6 linked regions of the Zea mays genome follow. The protein of the gene in region 6 binds, or shares a complex with, the protein of the main gene of each other region. Links are inferred from orthologs where the notes say so. Each region holds a gene or a part of one and is shown on either strand. Other genes may lie near its edges. The genes, in order: 50S ribosomal protein L31-like; 50S ribosomal protein L24, chloroplastic-like; 50S ribosomal protein L13, chloroplastic-like; 50S ribosomal protein L4-like; 50S ribosomal protein L34-like; 50S ribosomal protein L3, chloroplastic-like.

Region 1 (2,654 bases), on a different chromosome or scaffold from region 6:
TCGACAAACATTGTTATACTCATACAACATGGAATAAATCTTTGTAGATGTAGTTAATCGATAAATAACAAATATAAAATTGCACCTATCAAAGTTAAAATATATGAATACTTAGCTAGATCTATTATCAACAAGGCATAATGAATAGAGATAGCCAAACAAACCAAAGTTAAAATATATGAATACTTAGGGCAGCATGACGTACGAATAATGATATACCAAAAGGTGATAGAAGAGTATAGTATTTAGTAAGAGCAACTACAATAGTTATGTATAATAATAATACCTAAATCCTAGATATAGCAAGTTCTCATATAATATAGGGGAAAAAATCATCTCATCCAACATTTCTCTATCTATTACTTTCTAAATATGTTAAATTTTAATTAACATGACGCTAGTTTGAGTAGGACCATTAGTGATGACACATTTAATTGGTGAGTTATGTTGGCTTTTTTATTTACTATCACAATTGTTTATTCGTTTATTTCTAACATGTGCACGTGCGGCTATTGCATTGGCAATTGGTTAATCTCTAGTTGACTACCTGCCACAATTTTACATCGTCGGCGTCCGACGAATGTGCTCTGTTAATATATCTCTACTACAAAGTGAAAAAACACCAAAATACAAAAGTTATCGTCAGTTTTTTGTTTAGGAAGTTGATAAATGGTTGCTAAATGTAGGGAGAAATTGAGATTAGATGAGAAGTAGCTAAATTTAGAAAATTCATTTAAGAGAGTTGTTGGAGATGAGTTTTTAGTTTAGCTACCTAAATTATTTATTGATTTAAGGAATCTTTTGGAGAACTACTAGAGTTGCTCTAATAGAGTTGCTCTAAATTATTTAATTTTATACTCTTAAGAAAACCGTAACAACTGTAATTGTAGTTTGCATATCATTCCTTAATTATATTTAAGTCAGACTCTACACGGCATGCAACTTTCTCTTCTTTTGGCCCACTAATTCAACCAACCATCTACCAACACTTTCATTTCTGGTGGTGTACTTTCTTCGACGTTACATCTATGAAAGAGAATTTTGATCCGAAATGTTTCGATAAATAAAAAACCGCATAGCTATACCTCTTTAGTATAGCTGGCCGCCAACTGGAAATAACTGAAGGAGAAATTGGGCACTGGATTTTTCGTGGGCCGTCGCATTTCCACGTAGCCCAAAACAAACCACAGACAGACTTTAATGAACATATAGAGCCCAAACAAGCCTAGACAACGCTACCTAAAGAGAGAATCGACGAGCGCCAGAGGATAACATTAGCAAGGCGATAGATAAGAGGAAGGAAAGAACATAGGCAGCCGAAGCGACTGTCGCGAGGCAAGGCCATCGTCCGCCATGACGCTCTCCCTCTCCACCTCTTTCCTCCCCATCCCCGCCGCCGCGAGGACCACCGCCCGCACCCTACGCTCCGTCGTCCCCTCCCAGGTACGCACGTTCGTACACACCGGCCCTCCCTCTCGCCATTCCTGCACGGATCTTCGTCGTCGCCGCCGCTAATTCCTGAGTCCGGAACCTGGACGGCGCGGTGCAGGGGATGCGCTGCTCGATGCGCAAGAAGGGGTTGCACCCGGAGATCTACGAGGACGCGAAGGTGTACTGCAACGGCGAGCTGGTGCTGGTGACGGGGGGCACCAAGCCGGAGTACACGGTGGACGTGTGGTCCGGAAACCACCCCTACTATGTCGGCGACACCTCGGCGCTCGTGGTCATGGACAGCCAGATCGAGAAGTTCCGCAAGAAGTGGGGCCACATCAAGGAGTACTGGCCCGAGGACCAGTGGAGGGAGATGCACCCAGACGGCGACCCGGAGTTCGAGCCCGAGGGGGACAACTGATTGATGGCTCCCCGTCTTCCTCACCCGGTGCGTGGTCACCGGTCCAGTTTACATTTGCCCTCTTGAATGGAATCGAGACTCTGTCTGTTCGCATTGCTCTCCAGGTGTTCGGTTAATGTTCGGAATGGAAAATGTACAATTACTACTACTTCACGAGATAGGGTCTTGTTGATCATGGGCCCCCAAATACAATGTGCTTTCTGCAATGCACTCTAGGGTAGGATGGTATTGATCAAACAAGCAAATGATCCTGGTTCGAGGAAATGGATATTTCTCACTAGGAGTATACGCTGATGCTTGACTACAGCTTGAGTCGTCTGCTGATAACCTGATACCGCATACTGTTTGATCAAACTAGCCTCCTGTTGCTAGGTGATCCAATTTCCGAGTCATAGTTTTATACAACCAATTTTTCCATGCGACTGAACTAATTGAGTGTCCATGTGTTGCATGATATATAAAACATGTCGTGACATACGGCCATATGGGTGGAATAGAATATTTGTAAAATCTCATGCCATTACAAACAATTAGCACCAACATATAATTCAAGCTAATTTCTATAAAATAAAACAAAATGACTATAATATTATTGGCTTAATCTAGACAAAAGAAAAGTAAGTAATTTTATTTTGTTATTAATAAACCGTTGAAGATAATATCATACACTAGCTCTGATTCACTCTATTTCCTACGTTGATAGAAAATGTGGCGGAAATAAGAATAGATAGCGACAAGCAAATAGATACTCCCTCCGGTGTTATATTATTTGTCGTTTTGGATAATGTTCGAGTCAAACTTA
Region 2 (4,322 bases), about 29 Mb from region 6:
AGATGTTATATGTGCACTATTGCTTCATGTGCACAGGTTACTTCGCCTTTGTAATATGCCTTTGTAATATAGGAAATGATATATGTGGATATTTCTGAGGAAGTGAGGACGAGACCGAGAGTAGTGGGTCCAGAGCTGCAAACGAACACGGGCTGCCCGCACATACAAGCCCGTTCAGGGCTTGTTCGGTTACACCAATCCAGAGGGGGATTGGAGGGGATTAAATCCTCTCCTAGTCAAAAATGACTAGGAGGGGATTTAATCCCCTCCAATCCCCCTCTGGATTACTGTAACCGAACATGCCCTCATAGTTTTTCATCCAAAACTCTGACTGGTGAAGCGGAACAAGATCAGCATATGCTGATGCGCATTGACTTGCGTTGCAAGATTTGGTGACAACTGTATAATTTACAGGGGGAAAAACTGGCGTAAATAACAACATAGAGGGATAAACAGGCTCAATTCAACATGCAAGACGCAGTCAGCGTTCAGAGCATTTTGCAGGTTTTCATGCTAAAACTGTTACTCCGAATTTCCTTCCTTAAAAACCTTTACCCACTTCTCAACACTGTCGATTACTTCACCGGTCTTGACCAGGTATCGGACCTTGGTCCCGTCCTCCAGGAATTTGTGGCCAACCCTGCTTACCACACTCTTCTCCTTAGAGTAGAGCATCACATTTGAGCTATGAATGGGGCCTTCAATCTGATCAAAGAAAATTTAAGTCTGATCAAGAGAACGATTAGGCACCTACTAAAACTACAGATATGCTCTTGAAACCAATATGTGCAAAGCATCATGAGAGGCCCAAAAAACAAGTTCAATAGAAATTTTGCTGACCATGACGATTTCACCGGGTTCATCGTCTGTGCCTTTCTTGTGCTTCGACTTCAAGTTCAGGTCCTTCACGATCACCGTGCTGTTGTGCTTGAAAAGGCGTGTGACTTCTCCAACCTTTCCTTTCTCACGGCCTGCAATAACCTGTACCGTGTCCCCGATCCTAACATGCATCTTGTGCAGCACAGGAAGACTGTTTGGTTTACACTTCTTTCGCTCCCATCTCTTAAGCTGCAGTGGAAAGTGAAGTTTTAGGACATTTCACATTATTGGATAAAAAAGGTATCAAATATTTGGACTAAAGATTTTTTTTACTCACTCTCATTTCAATTGGGCATATCTTGACCATAAACCTTACCTGCATATTGAACATATTAAACAGCTTGTCAGAACTTCACATCCTAAAGACATAAGATTCCATTTCAAATCAAAGAGACACTAATCAGATGCTTCTGAGATATGGCATGACTCAAACACAGTGGTTACGATTCATGTTGATCTGATCAAGACACTACAGGATCCAGGGCTCCTCTTTATGTTTGAGTAATACGATATCCCTTAAAATACAGTGGTTCTATCACTTCCTTCAACAGTGATTACTTGACCTCACTATCTATTCTTTACTTGCTTTTGCTTCTTAACAGAAAGGTTTATCCTCATCCGATTCTTATCAGTTGGGAATTTTCCAGGCACAAGTACATACAGGTAAGGCATAATAAAGATGACACAGAAAAGAAAGCAGGGTTCAAATACAAACATCATTATGCTCATAATACACTATTTGGCGCCAAATTTTGTTTCCAGTTAGTCATATGTATTGTGTGATGTGGGGTAATTCAGGCATAAATATATATAAACAAAATCAGTGGCACATTGAGGGCAACATAATTTCTTCAGTTGACATTTTGACCGCTTCAAAAGCAACATAATTTCCTCAGTTAACAAACTAAATAAAGAGTACTCGAACAAATTTTACCACATGAAACACAGCATACTCTCTATTAGCACTAAAAGGCAAACATGTGCATAGTTGTATATGCAAAAAGGACAATACCGGATTACCAATGACAAAGGAAATTCTCTTACTTAAATTAATCCCAATCAGTTAATCTATTTGGCGCACTCAAATCTTACCATTTAAGCTTCCATGCAAGATAAAAATAAAAAAAGAAGGTAGACGAAATTCAATATGGACACGGTCTAAATTTAGTGTGTGTCGTGGAGCAAATAGAAACTTAATGTAATATGAAATCTAATAAGGGCGAGTTTGGCATAGTTCTACTCCAAAACTTTGGGTGAAGTATATCTGCTCCGAAGTGTAGATTGCTTTCTCATAACCAGTGCATTGGATGTGTCTTGATTGTTTTTGAAGGATTTTTCAAAGTAGCAAAAAATGTACTCCAAAAAATTATACTACAACTCTCAAAACTCTATAGAGTTTGCAACTCTAGAATTAGGGTGTTTAGTTGACTTTGTCCAGGTCTTCCTTAAAGTTTTGCTCTAGAGTGATGTCAAACACCCCTAAACATAGTCATATTAGAAGCCTGGTTTGTCATCCTTGAAAATGCACAATTAATAACAATGCAAAGGTAATTTTCCATTTCATTGCATCCAATCCATACAGACTAGCTCCAAAACCGTAATGCAAGCTCGAATGTCCCTAGAACAATTCCATCCGACCGCGCTTTGCAACGCTATCCAGAAACTCCAGAGTAAAATCTTTCACCAGAACAGCTACTTATTATCTACCAAACCATCAGCAGAACGGAACGGAATTGGGAAGCAGGAACAGACCCCAGGCTGCGGCGCGGAGTAGGTGGCGAGCCGGTTGCCCCAGAAGCTGCTGCTGCTCGCCGTCGCCGCGCCTAGCGCGGAGATGGAGAGCGACGCCATGGCGCCCTGCAGCGATGCCATCCCAGCCATCCTCTCGCCGCTCTCCCTCTCTCACTGGACTTGCTCAGCGCCCAAACTGCTCAAAGGATAACGCACGCGGCTTCTTCGAGTTGCCCGGAACCGGAAGAGAGAGGATAACGCGCTCTTGTATTCTGACGCTGGTGGGTTGGGCCTCGTCACTAAATGAGACAGGCCTCAGGTGAGGCACAGATGGGCCTGGAAGACGCTTAGGTGATCCAGTGAGGCCCATGGGTGCTCGTTCTACCGCCGTGAGAGGCTACAGGCTAGGGCCTCGGCTCCACGAGCGAGCTCCGCACGCATCAGCTGATCAGCATCACTGCATCAGCTATCAGGACGACAGGACGAGGACGGCGGGGTCAAGGCTCTCTTTCTCTCTCCCTCCCTCTCTGCGTGTCTCCTCGCACGCTACGCGAGGCCACGCGAGATTGCTTGGGAGATGCGTGCCCGCCTCCAGATTCCCCGTTCCAGCGCCGAGGCGCGCAAGCTACGCGACGGTTGCTGAGGCAAGCGAACCCCCTACTCCAGTTTTTCACTTTGCTGTTGTGTAAAATAAAATTCGCGTTACAGAGACAGAGACAGTTTGGGCGATGGAGGGTAGGTGGATGGCGGTGACATCGAAGCTTTGCGCTTTTGCTGCTGCAGGTCCCATCCTGCACCGAGAAAGGGTGGGATGTCAATCGGATTTCTCTATTGCAAATCATGGTTGCAAGTTAGACGTGTTTACCTCAGATCTTTTTCTCCAGAGACATTGGGTATCTCTTTTCTCATAGTGGACTACATTTCTCCCCCTCGAAGTCAATATCTCTTTCTTCGACTTTTCATTGCTGGCAGTTCTGCGCATGTCCTAAATCCTTGAATCATAGTAGGACATCCATGACAGATCACATAAACAACACGGCCAATACATCACTGGGCAGTTGGGCCTCGGCTCCTATCGCCGTCATCTAACTACCATCTAGGGAATCAGGAATGGTCCTGCCGTGCAAGCAAACCTTTAACGTTCCCCATGGGATAAGCATGTGACTATGCAAATGCCCGACACAAATTATATCTTATTATGGTTAAGAATCTTGTGTTTATTTTTCTCTTTCTCCTTTTCTATTCGCCACATGTGTTGAGATAACTATGCAAATCGTGACATGAAGTTTTGTTTCTATGTGGCGCTACCAAACAAAATGGATAAGGAAATGTGTGGCTTTTTTCCATGATAATTGCGACAGTTTCATTTCGTAGCTATCTGTTCCTCGTGGCCATAGTAATGCTTTGCACTTTGTTAATTTTGTAAGAAAAGAAATGGCATGATCTAATAATAAGGCCTTCTCTCTATGTGGCTAACTGGCAAGGGCTTAGCAATCCTCCCCCTTTCTAACTATAACCTTTTAAGGCATGGATGCTGGAGTGCTGGGCAAAACTCAATCTGTCTGGGCAAAGCTCTACTTGCTTGCGACACTCCAGATGTGGACCATTTTTTTTCACAGGTTTCGGAGCTAGACATGTCAAGTAGTTTCCTTCGGTTGTTGATTAATTTGCCCACTGTGATAGAGATTTTGCACCTTGTGGCCTCCACAAGA
Region 3 (4,038 bases), on a different chromosome or scaffold from region 6:
ACATTTGCTATCTCTGAACATGGAGCACGGAGTAACATATATGATGAGGGGAAAGCTATTGTTCAAAAGCACAAGGCTACCCCTGAAGAGGTAGAGGTACAATTGACTCGGTATCGTCAAGATGGAATGCCGGACACAAAAAGATTGCACGGACTGAAAGGTCAGTCTGTTAATCTTTCTCAAACAATTGTTCTTTTGCTCCTGTGGAATATCTCTGTATATGTTTTCCGAACTGTTATAATGAATTTACCCGTTTGATTTTTCAGCTCTAGCCGAAGCCTCTGTTATTGTGAGGGAACTCACCCCTGCAACGAACCATTTCATGTGTGCTTGGTTTAATGAAGTGGTTCGCTTCACATCTCGTGATCAGCTCAGTTTTCCATACGTTTTGTGGCGGCTAAACATGCATGGATTGAGCATGTTTCCTGTATGCACTCGCAGGGATCTTGTGAATAGTTTGGGTCACACAAGGAAAGTAAAACCTCTTACACAGACAAATTCAGGGTCTTCTACTACTTCGTAACCTTCCTCCCAGTTCATTTGCTGGTAGCCAACTAACCATTGATTTACATATGGTTCTAATCGTCGATACTCGACATCTCTGGTTCACAATTTTGTTGTTGTATATTATCATCTTTGCGTTCTTCCTGCGAGGGAATCCTGGATCTGAACCAGAAACACGTTAAGCTGTTGCTTCACTGCAACGCAATCACACGATGTTGCCACTATATATGTAAAAGATATGCTTTCTTTGGTTAGAAGAGAATGAACACTTTTCTGCCTCCTTTCCGTTTCCTGATGGAACATGTGAAAATGGTGTCCGTTATCAATTAATTCGGCTTCTGCTGCTGATGGTTGTCGCGGAAACTAGCAGCAATGGAAGTTCTGTTCCCGTCATTTTATTTGGACTCGAGAATTTCTCTGATTACCGATGTTTCTAATTGGTACTTGAACAGCGGAATCGTTTGAAAAAAATATGGTCCTGTCTGAAGCTATATTTTGTTAATGCAGCTCCCTTTGCCCAATAGTAATACATTGAATTTCTTTTTTTTAGATGGAATTATGGAACCGCCATTATTCTGAGTTTGGGAAGAGTTTCAAAGGAAGCGTTTAAATCTCAGATGAGCTGATAAGGTGTCGTAATGGGCCAAATCTGCATTTCGTTCTGAGCCCATGAAGCCCATATGTTCTTGTTAACCTTTCCCTGTTCTTTGTCTCCTATCCCCTTATCCGCTTGACGCTCCCCACTGCGCCTAAAAATGGCCGCGTCCCACTGAACCAACCGTCTGCACATCCTCCTCCTGTTGCCGCTCGCTCGCCGTGCCGCAATGGCTACGGCCGTCGCCTCCCATACGTTGCTCTCCTCCGCCTTCGCCCCGCGCCACTACCACCGCCGCCTGACCCGGACCGCGTCCGTGGGGCCGCGCCGGGCCGCCCCGGTGGGACTGGCCGTGCGGTGCGAGAAGAGCGACAAGCAGAAGAGGCAGCCGCTCGCCGCGCTCGTGCCCCGCGAGCAGCGCTTCATGTTCGAGGGAGACGAGCTCTGCGGCCCCGTACGACGCTCTCTCTTCCTCTCTTGAAACAATGTGCACATTTTCACAGCTCGTTTTGCAGGATTGTAACCCTGGACTGACAGTGTCCATCCTATTTTGTTCATGTTTCACCGTGGCCATCTTAATCCACCTCAGAGGCTTCGACTATCCTTTTATGTGCATGATGAAGGGCAATCAAGTTACAATAGAACTGCGTACATTATATATGTTATCTGCCATGTGCCATCATATCCAAAATTACCCATGGGCTGTTTGTGGTGAGAGAGAATTCATTAAAAATGAGCTTAATTGGACATGCAAGTCAAAGTGAACTGATGGTTGCCAACCAGCCTGTTCATAATTGTGACTTGTTTAGGATCAGTTACTAATACTATGGGTACAAAGTGAATGGTTTGTTTGTACTATGCCTTGTTCTTTCTTCTAATGAATTACTCCACAAGTAATTGTGTCTACTGAAATCTGATTCAGTGATTTAATTTGCAGGACATATGGAATACAACCTGGTATCCTAAGGCTGCAGATCATGTAACTACCGAGAAGACATGGTATGTTGTTGATGCAACAGACAAGATCCTAGGCAGGCTAGCATCCACCATTGCAGTACATATCAGGGGAAAGAATGAACCCACTTACACTCCTAGTGTAGACATGGGAGCTTTTGTTATTGTGGTAAGCGTTCTCTCAATACCTATAGTGTTTGGAATCCCTACAGTTAACAGGTAGCCAGCTAACAAATTGTTAGCTGGGTTGAGCCAGCTAATGAACTAATTGTTAACTGTGAGTTAGCTAACAATTAGTTGTGGGTGTTTGGAACCTGTATAGCTAATTTTAGCAGCTAACTATTAGCTGTAGAGGTTCCAAACAGGGCCTTAGTATACATGCTTTACTTCCCTCAGATTATTTGGTACTGAGGTGAGTAACCTTCCTCAAATAATCTTCAACTGTAGTTGTGTTTAATGTTTATGTTAGCATAGTCCTTTTGTGACTGGTGCATCTCTAAAGGCTCATTACCACGTATTCCCTCAGTTCCAAGTTATAAGACTTTTTGGATTTTTTTTGGATCCATTACTTTTGCTACGCACTTAGACATAATTCATGTCCAGATATTTAGTAACAACTATGTATCTAGAATTACCAAAACATCTTATAATTTGGAACAGATGGAGTAGATGATATGCATTATTGTGTTACACTACAATGCTGAGAGTCATTAACAACCTTTTCTATTCACATAGGTCAATGCAGATAAGGTTGCTGTTTCTGGTAAAAAGCGGTCACAAAAGCTTTATAGGAGGCACTCCGGAAGGCCTGGAGGGATGAAAGAAGAAACTTTTGACCAACTTCAGAAAAGAATTCCAGAGAGAATCATTGAACATGCGGTTCGTGGCATGCTCCCCAAGGGAAGGGTAAGAAAAAACATCTACTAGCTGATTGCCTCAGGTCTACATGTTCTCTTTCTCGTTTTAGTGCGCATGTTATAATGTATGCCAAATATGAAAATGACAACCAAATTTCCTGGTGACCTTTATTTTAAGGTCCCAAAAATTACAATTTGGTATTAGTTAGCAGATGTGAATTTTTTCTTTTGAGATTGAGAACTACTATAGTTAATGGTGAGGCCTTGTTCGGTTATTTCAATTCCATGTGGATTGGTGTGTTGGGATGGATTGGGATGGATTTTGACTTGCTATGGATTTAAACCGACTCAATACCACTCAATCCACATGGATTAACGGCGAAACGAACAAGCCCTGAAGTGTATTGCAGTCAGAACATTGCTCATGCATCAGCATGTACCTCCCAGTGAAAGCGTGACATTCAGAATAAATCACAGTACTAAATTCAAGGGAATGTTGTTATTGAACAAAATTAACAAGTCCAGATTGAATTAGTTAATTATCTTGCCGATCTTTTTTTTTCTAAGTTCGCAAAGGTGTGTTGCATGAACTCCATAAAAATTGCCTATTAACCTTTTTCTTGCAAATTGCTTCTTAGTTCAATTGTTTGGTAGTATGGATGCGTTTACTGAAACTCACATTATGGCAGGCAAATATCTTGTTATCTGAAGCATCCCCCCTAACCATTCCATTTTTCTTGTTGATGGCAAATTTGATTTAACTTAGTTTTGTTATGTGCTATATACTTGTTATATTTACATTTATATGCTCACCTTTTTTGCCAATTTGCAGCTGGGAAGAAGATTATTTACCCACCTCAAGGTATACAAAGGGACAGAACATCCGCACGAGGCTCAAAAACCTGTCCCACTCCCGATCAGGGATAAAAGAATACAAAAAACTGGATAGAGAATTCATCGACTGAAAAGGATGCAGTGGCGAATTCCTCCCCAGAAGGTTTTGCCCTTTGTTTGGAATGCTATCCTCATAACCATGCCTCTGATCGGGGAGGGGGGGGGGGGGAGTATAAATCCTCTTTGTAATTTTGATGTTTACCAATGCATGAAATTCAGTCAAATTTCTGTCAA
Region 4 (3,969 bases), on a different chromosome or scaffold from region 6:
CTATGTTGGATAGATATTTGTATCATTCATGTAGAATGTATCGTGGAAGATCGAAACAGAAGAAAATAAATAAGTATGATAATTTGAACTTCGGCCATCTGCTCTAAACTTCTGATTTCCTGACTTGCTTTTACCTTATGGTTTGTGCAAGGGTGGCAGAATATCTGGAAAAAAAAACTATCATGAGAATGCAATCCGCAGTCATCTATTCAGGTTTCTTGACCTGCATGACTTTGCTTGTTACCTTGTCGGTAAGGAGACGCGTGCAAGTTGGTTATCATCAGGAAGCCAAGGGAACGTAGAACTTCTGATTAAGGCTGTGCGCAGCGGTCACCGCTAGCACTCCCCCTCCCCTTGCATGCCGTCTGTAGGGGGCACCCTACGGCCGCAGCGGTGCCCCCTACAGCGCCCCCTACGCGTCGGCACCCTTCTATCTCCCCCCAGATCTAGCGTGTCACTGTTCATCACCCTAAACACTGTGCTGTGGGTCCACGAGTAATTGTTAGTAGATAAAAAATTAATAGTTGATATAGAAAATGATATTTTATAGTTGTAGTGGGGTATAGGGGAGTATTTAGGGGGAACCGCTGCGGGAGATGAAAAAATAGGGAGAAAAATAGGGGGGAAAAGTGATATAGGGGGAAAAATTTAGGGGTAACGGTTGCGGATAGCCTAATCCTTTTTACCTAGAATTTCTGAAGATTCGTTTTCACCCTTTATCTATCCCAGCTGTGCTGAAAGCATTGGGCACTTGCAGTTGAGTCTGCAGGTGCAGCTGACTTAAGTGCACAGGCACGGTTTCGTCTCCTCCCGTCCCGTGTCAACCAGTTTTAGCAAACTGCAAGCAAATAAATTCACTTAACACGGCAAATGCCCTTTCATTACTTGTAATATTAATGGATTTTTAAGGAAAAATTACTCAAACTTGTGAAGTGCGACTGCGACTAGCCGACTCGGCATGAGACCTGACTCGGTGACTCCTGAGACAGTTGACAGTGTGCCTTCTTGTGGCGTTGGCAAGTAGGGACTACGAGTCTGTCTGGGGAGGAGTGGCCGAACCGAACGGGTGGATAACAAAGGGATAGAGAAGCGGCAGCTGCAGAGGCAGAGCGTCAGAGCCATCGTCCTCGCCTCACCCCGTAGTCCCGTACCTAGCGCAGCGAAGCCGGCACAATGCCAGCCGCCGCCGTAGTCTCCCCTCTCCTCCTCTCGCTCTCCTCGTCCTCCTCCCCCTTCCTCTCTTCCTCATCCACCTCCTTTTTCCCACCCTCCTCCGCTGCCGTCACTCCACACGCCGCCGTCAGGACGAGGGCGGCTGTCTCCGTCCTCCGCGCGCTGCGCGCCGAGGCGGCCACCCTCCCCGTGCTCTCATTCACCGGAGAGAAGGTCGGGGAGGTAACCCTCGACCTCAAATCCGCGCCACCCTCCACCGCGCGCGCTGTCGTGCACCGCGCTATCATCACCGACCGCCAGAACGCGCGCCGAGGCACGGCCTCCACGCTCACCCGCGGCGAGGTCAGAGGCGGAGGGAGGAAGCCCTATCAGCAGAAGAAGACGGGGAAGGCGCGGCGGGGGTCGCAGCGTACCCCGCTTCGTCCCGGCGGTGGCGTCGTGTTCGGCCCCAAGCCCCGCGACTGGTCCATCAAGATCAACCGCAAGGAGAAGCGCCTTGCCATCTCCACTGCCATCGTGAGCGCCGCCAAGGACGCCTTCGTTGTCGAGGAGTTCGAGGAGGCCTTCGCGTCGGGGCCCAAGACCAGGGATTTCGTGGCCGCTTTGCAGCGGTGGGGGCTTGACCCGAAGCAGAAAGCCATGTTCTTTGCCACGGACTTCGACGACAATGTGCGGCTCAGCGGCAGGAACATTGGTTCCCTCAAAATGCTCACACCCAGGACGCTGAACCTGTACGACATACTCGACGCACGCAAGCTCTTCTTTACTCCTGCTGCTGTAGACTACCTCAACTCCAGGTACGGAGCCAGTGTTTCCGATGACTACTATACTGATGACGAGGATGATGGCGAGGAGGAACTGGTCGAGCAAGAAGCAGAAGAAGGCACCACAGCAGATGCTGCTCCAGGTACATAGCTACAGAGTATGCTTTGCTGGTTGCAGTGCGCTGCTTGATTATTCCTGTACTGGCCATATATGGGCTCTCTGCTAGTAACTGCTATCCTTCAGTTAGTACATGTCTCAACAGGTTGAAGGAGAATAGCAAATGGTAGTGCTACGAAGCAGTAATGCCGATTGGATTGAATTGCATCACCATTATTTTGGGGAACATTTTATCTACAATGTAAATTTGAATGGCATAAAACCACACTACTCAAGGACCAAGACATGGGGTTTGAATATCGGTTTTGTACAGGACTATGTTTTGCTGAATAAAAATGCACCTCTTACCATATTTCTCATTTTTCTAAAAGAGAGTGGCAGGAGCTCTGCCTTGCATTGAAGGGAAATAAGATGGTTTTGTCTGAATGGCAGACACGCCTCAACATAAAATAGGACAACCACAAATTTCATGAGAGAGCCAACCTGCAAAGAAACAAAAACAAGACACAATTGTTGTGGCGGCCAATGATGTCGGTGTCACGGCGGGAGAGGGCGTGGTCGACCGTATGGAGACAACTGGGGCAGTATTACACCGTGAAGTTGAAGCCGAACAACTTGCTCACCCACTGGTGCCGCAGGATCGTTGAGAGGCGTTGATCAGGCAGGAACTTCACGCTAAAGTGGTTGGTGCAGATGAGTAACCGGCGCCCCCAGAGATATGGGCGCCAATGACGCACGACTTGCACCAAGTCGATGAGCTCTCGTTCGTAGGCGGCGATCTTCTGGTGTCATGGCACGAATGGTCAGCTGAAGTAGGCCAGTGGTCCTGCGCCCTACTGAAGGATAGCGCCGAACCCTATGCTCGTCGCGTCACACTCCACGACGAACAAGGTATCGAAGACTGGCAGATGGAGGACCGACACAGTGGAGTGTGCGCGCTTGAGTGCGGTGAAGGTCGTCTCAGCCTTCGGTGACAAGTGGAAGGTGTCCTTCCCTAGCAAGCTGGTGAGTGGCGCCACGATGAGGTCGAATTCCTATATGAACTTCCTGTAGTACCCCATAAGGCCCAGGAAGGTGCAGCCAAGACGTGACGGCCTCCACCTTGTCTCCATCCATGGCTACGCCATCTACGGAGATGACGTGCCCTAGGTATGCGACGGACGTCATGCCAAAGGAGAGCTTGCCAAAGAGGGAGTGTGCATGGAGGCGTCGAAAAAGGCGTGTTGCAGATGAGTTGACCACGAGTCGTTGTAGATGAGAATACATCAAAGAAAACAAGGACAAACCAACGGAGTAAGGGCTGCGTGACTTCATTCATGAGGCTCTAGAATGTTGCCTGCGTGTTTGCCAACCCAACTGGCACCAACAGAAACTCAAAGTGGCCATGGTGGGTGTGAAACACGGTCTTCTCGATGTCGCCTGTGTGCATGCGGATCTGGTGGTACCCGGAGCGTAGGTCCAGTTTTATGAAGAAATGGGCGCCATGGAGCTCGTCAAGGAGCTCATCAACGACGGGGACGACGAGGATTGGGAACTTGTCCTTCACCGTGTAGTCGTTGAGGAAGCGCAAGGAGTCGATGTAGAAGAGCAAGGAGTCATGCTTCTTGACGAGGAGCATCGATGTGGAGAAGGTCGACGTGCTAGGCTAAATAACGCCCTAGACCAGCATGTCGACGACTTTGCACTCCAATTCGTCCTTATGGACCTACGAGTAGCGGTAGGGTCGGACAGCGACTGTTGTCGTGTCTGGCTGCAAGTGAATGCAATGGTCACATGCACGAGTTGGTGGCAATCCAGAAGGCATGGCGAAGACATCGATGTTGGCGAGAAGATCGTCAAGGAGTGGTCGCGGCTCAGGCAGAATAGTGTGGAGGGCTATCGACGTCGTTGCACAACATTGAGAGCCGACACCCT
Region 5 (3,862 bases), on a different chromosome or scaffold from region 6:
TGATCTTCTGGTGGCGATCCACCGTGAAGTGTGACAAGTACTTTTCTACCGGCTCCTTGTGCCATTCAGAGAGTTTATGCAGCAGCTCCGCCTATTCCTTGTCGCGTTGTTCGTTCCATTGCTGCATCACCTCCTTCTCATCACGCATTACGAGGTCTTCAAAGGGTCTTTGGTCATCAGCCGGGAGCGCCTCCATGGCCGGCTTGATGATGTTGGTGGTGGAGATCTTGGTGTGATCCTTAGAACCGACCATCTATGGGCCGATTTTTAGCAGGTCTAGACACCTAGTCCCCAGCAGAGTCGCCAAAAGTATGTTGACACCTTTTTCGGGCGCCAAACACTCAACAAGAACCGGCGACGGTGCTCTCTACACAGGCGCAAACGGTTCGCGCCCAGGGGCCGGACGGTCCGCGACCTGACGCAGGGCTAGGGTTCCCTGCCTGACGGCCGGACGGTATGCGCCCTAGGGGCCGGACGGTCCGCGTGTGCGCAGGGGCGGCGAAAGGTCGCCGGCGGCGCCTGGATCTCGCTCCCGGGAGGGACCCCGTCGGGGAGGAGAGATTCTAGGGGTTGTCTAGGCTCGACAGGCCGACCTAGATCCTCTAATCGACATAGAGTCGAAGAGAAGCGGAGAATTTGGGGATTAGAATACTAAACTAGGGCTAAACTAGAACTAGACTAGAACTACTCCTAATGCATAAGGTAAAAACGAGTAATAGACTTGATTTGATCGATTGTTGGGGAGTTCAATCGGCCGTAGCCCTTCATCTATATAAAGGGGGAGGTCTGGATCCGCTTCGAACTGATTTCCGAGTCAATCCCACGGTTTTAGATAACAAATCCCATGAGAAACTAGGAACCCTAACTGACTCTGCGCACGTGCGGACCGTCCGCGCCACCACCGAAGACAGTCCGGACCGTGGACCGTCCGCGCGGCCCCTTTTGGCTTTCAACAACTGTATATGCTCGGACTTAGAGCTAAAGATCCAGAAATGAGGAAGCAATTCTTCAAGCTTTACCATGATACAGTTTTGTAAACATTCTTAATCTTTAAAAGATGCTAACAAGAGTATAGGACAACAATTAATGCTTCTGCATTTCAACGTATCTTATCTTAACATATTTTACTCCGTAGCAATGCACGGGCATACAACTAGTATCATTGTAAGTTTTATAATGGAATGAAGCCCTCTAATTAATGGTAAAATAGCGAAACTCACTTTTGATAATGGCGCAATCCTAAATTTCTCCGTGAGGAACCGGGATTCTCCAGGGCGGAGGAGGGGATGTGTGGGTCAAATGTGCACTAGCCCATAGGAGGCCCATAAGGCCTGTCTCATCAAGCGTGGATAAGATAAAATAAAACAAGCACCAGGGACAGGGAGTGGCTAGACCGCAGCAATTGCGATTGCGAGTCCTCCAAACCATGGCGCTCGCCCTGGCCTCTCCAATGGCGTCTCTCTCCTTCCACTCCGGGAGGATCTCGGCGGCGTCTATCGGAGGCGTCGGCCGCACTCGCAGGGCGGCCCCGGTGGGCGTATCCGCCTCGCCGTTCCTCCGGAGCTCCTTCGTCTCGTCCTCCTCCACGTCGTCCGCCTCCGCCTCCGCCTCCCCCGCTTCGCTCGCGGCGGCTGTCTCGGCGTCTCTGGCATTTACGTCCTCCTCCGCGTTTGCGGGTGAGAATGTATCCTGTAATCCTTTTCTTCCTGTATTCGTGTGCTAGCGTTTGGGCGGCCATTTGTTTTGGTCTTTATTTGGGGAAATTTTGTGGGTAGTTTGCTTACTAGTAAGCTCGTACGGGGAAATGACATTAAAAATTTGAAATTATGACTTCATGACCGTGTGTTGACGATAGATTTGCAGAATAGGATGTTTGACTTGCTAATAATTCACTAATAATACAGTAAGCTGGTATCAAGAGGGTGGAGTTTTGGAATAGTTTGTTCTTTGTTGTTCATTACTCTAGTAGGGTGAAGAACAGTAACTGGGGATTTATGTTGTTTTAACGTTTGAACCGGAATTAATTACACTCACTTCATCTATACAAACAGAAATAAGGGTGTCCTAACTAATTCTTTGAAAACATTGAAGCTTGTGTGGTTGGTATTATAAAAAAACCAAAAATTCAGTTAGTCGGGCATATTAATAGAGAAGGACTAGATACACCAACATCGTTGAAAACAAAAGAAAAATGCTCACGAAACGAAGCGATGGCAAGACAATCACCAAAATAATAGTACATCGCCAATAAAACCATCAGAGCATTGGCAATCAGAACACGCCCTGATAGCCAAACAAGATATGGGGTGGGGTTCATATGATGCCTCCAAGGAGGTAAACAACATCTGCAGGTGCCGCCATCGATTATAGAACCTATGCTTTTGAACCAAAATCCCCTTAGGGTCTAGAGACCTCTTGACAATGCCTACAAGGAGGAGTGCGTCACCATTGCTGGCATCAACAGAAAGCCGAGCGTAGCTTTTGTCGAAAATCTGCTACCCCAAAACCCACACCTTGTTCCTGCAATGGCAAGGAGCCCACCAACGGCACTGCATGTTGTCATCCACCAAGTCTCAAGATAAAGTCATTGCAATAGCATTTTCTTTTGCTTGACAAGAAATCAAGATTTAAGAAGGGCTGCATATGACAGGACTATTAACCAATATAGTGAAGATTATATAACACAGTTGAAGCATAAACGCTTCCAAGAAACTTGATCTCAGGACTGATAGTCTGATACTACGACAACACTTTAATCACACTCGACTTTTCCATTACCTAAAGCAAATCCCAAAGCTCCTAAAAGAAGCACGACAAAGTTGAATCCAACAAACCATTTAAGCATTGTATAACAATCCAAACACAACCAGATAGGTATTCACAAATCAATGATTGTGAGTGCATGTGTGCCTTCGTTGTTCTTATACTTATAGCATGTTCTATGCCAGGTTCATCTTTGGGAATCGAGTTCAGCTACAGTATAATGACAACACGGAGATCCCGTGGTATGCAGATTAGGGCTGGAAAGGCTGCCCTCTGCATGACCAAGAGGTCAAGGTCTAGGAAGTCACTTGCCCGTACACATGGTTTCCGCAGGCGGATGCGGACTACTTCTGGAAGGAAGGTACTGAAGCGCAGGCGCGCCAAAGGCAGGAAGGTTCTTTGCACAAGGACAAACTCAAACAGTGGGAAGAAAAGAATGTTCTAATTACACTGCAATTTGATGTGCTCGCAACTGTAAGTGTAATGTCTACTTGCAATCTTCTAAGCCGCCATCTATGTGTAACAATCATGTAGCATCCTATTCCTGTTTAATTGGTTAAAAATATCTGGATCACCTTCTGCTTCCAAGGTTTTATTTGGTGTATGAATGATATTTTCTTATGAATATTTACTCTTCCCTAGTGGGCCTGAACCTGCGTGCAGTATGAAGGAACACTTGAGAGTAGATACCGTCGCTGTTATGAAGTAGGATCTCCTTTTACCCTGCCCATATTCCGTTATGAATACTGAATCTTCCCTGTTGGGTCTGAAATTGTGTGCAGTAGCATCGTTCGCTATACTGAACTAGGATCTCCTTTTGCGTTGCAGGGATAATCAGTTAAACTATTATATACTCCGGTTCCAATTTATAATTCATTTGACTTTTTTACACTAAGTTTGACCATCTCGTTTTATTTAAAAAATCATAATTATTGTTAAAGTTTACTGTGGTTTTGATTAGCATACAATATACTTTAAGTATGGCTTTGGATTTTTTTATTTTTTCAAAAAAAAAATTGAATAAGACAAACCGGATTTACCTTCATTAGCTGATGATGAAACTACTTACCCGTGCGGCCGTTTGATCCTTGCGCTACTT
Region 6 (3,102 bases):
GGCGCAGACCATCCGACCCCTGAGGCCGAACCATCCGCACTACACCAAGACACCACCAACGATGTACCGACACCCATGGAGGAAGATGACCTACAAGGGGAAGACCTGGTCGACTACGAAGCTACGCCAGAACACTTGGAAAATTAGAAAAAGTAAGGTGACGGATTGGTCAGGATCGCTATGACGCTCGACGGTGTTGGGACTGACAGTTCGATCAAAGCTAAAAGAGTCACGTCCGTTGAGTCAACCATCGGGACTAAGGCCACTACGTATCATCCTAGCAAGTGTCAAGATGCCTAAGAAAACTGATGTGATCACATCGAGTTAGTTGCTTTTGGTTCGCTCAGCTCCACCAAAAGGCAGGGGGGCATATGTTTGACACCAAAATGAGCCGGCGGACTGTCTGGCCCTGAGGCCGGACGGTCCGCGGTCCGGACGGTCCGCGCCTGTGGGCCGGACGGTCCGCGTGTGCACAGAGCAGATTAGGGTTCCGAGTTTTGTGCTACGATTGTTAGCTAAAATCATGGGATAAGCTCGGGAATTAGTTTGTAAAGGGTCCAGCCCCCTCCTCTATAAATAGAGAGGTATACGGCCGATTTGTAATCATCAATCGAATCAATACAACTTCTATTTCGCATTTTATCCTAGGAGTAGTTCTAGTCTAGTTTAGGTTTAGCCTCTCGATCCCCAAATTCTTCGCCTCTCTTCGACTCTACGCCGATTAGAGGAGTCTAGGTCGGCCGGCCCGAGCCTAGACAACCCCTAGGATCTCTCCTCCCCGACGGGGTCCCTCCCGGGAGCGAGATCCAGGCGCCGCCGGCGATCTTCCGCCGCCCCTGCGCACGCGCGGACCGTCCGGCCCTAGGGCGCGGACCGTCCGGCCGTCAGGCAGGAAACCCTAGCCCCTGCGCCAGGTCGCGGACCGTCCGGCCCCAGGCCGCGGACCGTCCGCGCCTGACCAGAGAGCACCGCCGCCGGTTCTTCTTGAGTATTTGGCGCTCCGAAAAAGCGTCAACAGCTCTGTTCCAACTTACCAAACACAGAACAGAGCGGCTCTGTTCCTAGAATCAGGGATGGAATGGCTCCGTTCTACTTGGCTCCTCAACCAAACACTAAGTACGTGACAATAGGAGAATGGATGGAGGTCTTGCCATGCAAATTTCTAAGCAACTGTATATACGCTTTCTTTGTAGAAAGGCGTATCTATTTGAGTCGCTTCCGAGCAGACGTCCTCCTTGGATAAGGGGATAGGCGCGAGGAAGAGCGGCCTATCCGCATCCGCATAAATCCCAGTCAAATTGAACGAGAGCGCCACTCCCCTCTGCTAATCCCAGTCAAATCGAAGCAAGCATGGCCATGGCGGCCGTGGGCGTGGGCGGCGCAGTGGCGTTCCTCCTCCCGCAGCGCCGCCAGGGCGCCGTCCCCTGGAGCGGCGGGCGGCGGCGGGCGCCCGTGGCGGTGCGCGCGTCGTACGAGGCCGGGGTGGGCGTGATGGCGACCAAGGTGGGGATGATGACCTACTTCGATCCGGAGACGGGGAAGCCGGTGCCGGTGACCGTGGTCGGGTTCCGGGAGGGCGGCAACGTGGTGACGCAGGTGAAGACGGCCGCCACGGACGGGTACGACGCCGTCCAGGTCGGGTACCACGGCGTGCGCGAGGACAAGCTCACCCGCCCGGAGCTGGGCCACCTGGGCAAGGCCGGCGCCCCGCCGCTGCGCCACCTGCAGGAGTTCCGGCTCACCGCCGTCGACGCCTTCGAGCCCGGCCAGCCCCTCGACTTCGCCGACCTCTTCAAGGAGGGCGACCTCATCGACGTCTCCGGCAACTCCATCGGCAAGGGGTTCCAAGGTAGTACACCGATTCTCGCGCCTCCATCCAATAGTGCGATTGCATTGCCAGCAACAGCAATTCTGCTAATGATCTGCCAGCCTCGGTTGTATGTGTCATTGTTCCGTTTCATGGAGAGTGAAGTTTTAGCAGCATTTGCTGTAGCTGTAGTTTCAAAGGTTTGCATTTGCGATTGCTATGCCACTTGTGCAATCTCCTAGCTTGCAACGTTCTTGATCCGCTCGCGCGCGGTTTTACTTGTGGCACTGCGCAGGTGGCATCAAGAGGCACAACTTCAAGCGCGGGCTGATGACGCACGGTTCCAAGAGCCACCGGCAGCTGGGTTCCATCGGAGCCGGGACGACGCCGGGCCGCGTGTACAAGGGGAAGAAGATGCCCGGGAGGATGGGAGGAACCAAGACCAAGATCAGGAAGCTCAAGATCGTCAAGATCGACAACAACCTCCGGGTGCTCATGATCAAGGGGGCCGTGCCAGGGAAGCCCGGGAACCTCCTCCGCATAACGCCGGCCAAGATCGTCGGCAAGAACATCCCCAAGAACTAGACTTCTTTTTTCAGGGGGGTGAATGTTGAGTGTTTGTGTTTGTTACCCTGCTACAAACTGGATGTAATCCTTTGCCAATTTCCAGTTTTTGAACACATGCAACTTCAGATTAGTAAAACTATAACCTGTACAATTTGGATGCTTGGGTGAGAGAGTAATAGGCAGGTAATGCAAGATGCACTTCTGGTTCCTGAATTCCGCTAAACAATAGTTGATTAATTCTATGGCCATAGATCATACAAATAGTTAAATACAAATGGTCGCAGATCATGCAGATATGTACTGATCTGAGTCAGGAAACGCAACCAAAACGGAACCAGGAAATGCGACAAACAAGAAAAACTGCAGACGTAACCTTGTGCAACAGGGGGGCAGAAAGGAGAACTTTGACATAATCGTAAAGCTTCCACTATAGCCAACTGAACGAATACATTTGCTACCACATCACCCTCAGAGAAGATACAAAGAAGACGGATTGTTTGGGCCACCCTTCAATACGGATTATTTGATCATAATAATAAGCCATCCATGCTTCTACTCTAAGAGCACAAAACCTAACACGGAAGAAGAAACAGTGGCCACCAAATCAGCTAGTTCCACGACCACAATTGTAGATATTTAGCTGCCCAAAATAGTCTGTACAAATGGATCACTCCTCAACCTGCACATAAAGAACATACGACCAAAGAAGTTAGCAATCGTACAGAAAC

What was found.
Region 1: 50S ribosomal protein L3, chloroplastic-like (region 6) and 50S ribosomal protein L31-like share a complex: the UniProt entries of both Arabidopsis thaliana proteins name them as parts of the 50S ribosomal subunit. The link is inferred for Zea mays from reciprocal best matches to the Arabidopsis thaliana genes AT2G43030 and emb2184.
Region 2: 50S ribosomal protein L3, chloroplastic-like (region 6) and 50S ribosomal protein L24, chloroplastic-like share a complex: the UniProt entries of both Arabidopsis thaliana proteins name them as parts of the 50S ribosomal subunit. The link is inferred for Zea mays from reciprocal best matches to the Arabidopsis thaliana genes AT2G43030 and RPL24.
Region 3: 50S ribosomal protein L3, chloroplastic-like (region 6) and 50S ribosomal protein L13, chloroplastic-like share a complex: the UniProt entries of both Arabidopsis thaliana proteins name them as parts of the 50S ribosomal subunit. The link is inferred for Zea mays from reciprocal best matches to the Arabidopsis thaliana genes AT2G43030 and emb1473.
Region 4: 50S ribosomal protein L3, chloroplastic-like (region 6) and 50S ribosomal protein L4-like share a complex: the UniProt entries of both Arabidopsis thaliana proteins name them as parts of the 50S ribosomal subunit. The link is inferred for Zea mays from reciprocal best matches to the Arabidopsis thaliana genes AT2G43030 and RPL4.
Region 5: 50S ribosomal protein L3, chloroplastic-like (region 6) and 50S ribosomal protein L34-like share a complex: the UniProt entries of both Arabidopsis thaliana proteins name them as parts of the 50S ribosomal subunit. The link is inferred for Zea mays from reciprocal best matches to the Arabidopsis thaliana genes AT2G43030 and AT1G29070.

The regions. Positions count from the first base shown.
Region 1 is NC_050098.1:221,940,138-221,942,791, forward strand, and holds 50S ribosomal protein L31-like, read left to right. Parts: upstream 1-1,295; 5' UTR 1,296-1,353; coding exon 1,354-1,443; intron 1,444-1,549; coding exon 1,550-1,852; 3' UTR 1,853-2,145; downstream 2,146-2,654. UniProt on the Arabidopsis thaliana protein: Binds the 23S rRNA.
Region 2 is NC_050100.1:50,135,632-50,139,953, forward strand, and holds 50S ribosomal protein L24, chloroplastic-like, read right to left. Parts: upstream 2,818-4,322; 5' UTR 2,761-2,817; coding exon 2,632-2,760; intron 1,196-2,631; coding exon 1,157-1,195; intron 1,069-1,156; coding exon 841-1,068; intron 706-840; coding exon 523-705; 3' UTR 337-522; downstream 1-336. UniProt on the Arabidopsis thaliana protein: One of two assembly initiator proteins, it binds directly to the 5'-end of the 23S rRNA, where it nucleates assembly of the 50S subunit. Required for optimal plastid performance in terms of photosynthesis and growth.
Region 3 is NC_050098.1:202,897,707-202,901,744, forward strand, and holds the start of 50S ribosomal protein L13, chloroplastic-like, read left to right. Parts: upstream 1-1,222; 5' UTR 1,223-1,328; coding exon 1,329-1,553; intron 1,554-2,036; coding exon 2,037-2,222; intron 2,223-2,788; coding exon 2,789-2,959; intron 2,960-3,742; coding exon 3,743-3,859; 3' UTR 3,860-4,038. Other genes in the region: uncharacterized protein LOC100285659, read left to right, coding at 1-160, 267-523.
Region 4 is NC_050096.1:38,266,530-38,270,498, forward strand, and holds the start of 50S ribosomal protein L4-like, read left to right. Parts: upstream 1-1,147; 5' UTR 1,148-1,173; coding exon 1,174-2,080; intron 2,081-3,969. UniProt on the Arabidopsis thaliana protein: This protein binds directly and specifically to 23S rRNA. May play a role in plastid transcriptional regulation.
Region 5 is NC_050098.1:192,685,845-192,689,706, forward strand, and holds 50S ribosomal protein L34-like, read left to right. Parts: upstream 1-1,400; 5' UTR 1,401-1,426; coding exon 1,427-1,676; intron 1,677-2,948; coding exon 2,949-3,208; 3' UTR 3,209-3,352; downstream 3,353-3,862. UniProt on the Arabidopsis thaliana protein: This protein binds directly to 23S ribosomal RNA.
Region 6 is NC_050100.1:79,035,689-79,038,790, reverse strand, and holds 50S ribosomal protein L3, chloroplastic-like, read left to right. Parts: upstream 1-1,206; 5' UTR 1,207-1,350; coding exon 1,351-1,849; intron 1,850-2,102; coding exon 2,103-2,392; 3' UTR 2,393-2,585; downstream 2,586-3,102. UniProt on the Arabidopsis thaliana protein: One of the primary rRNA binding proteins, it binds directly near the 3'-end of the 23S rRNA, where it nucleates assembly of the 50S subunit.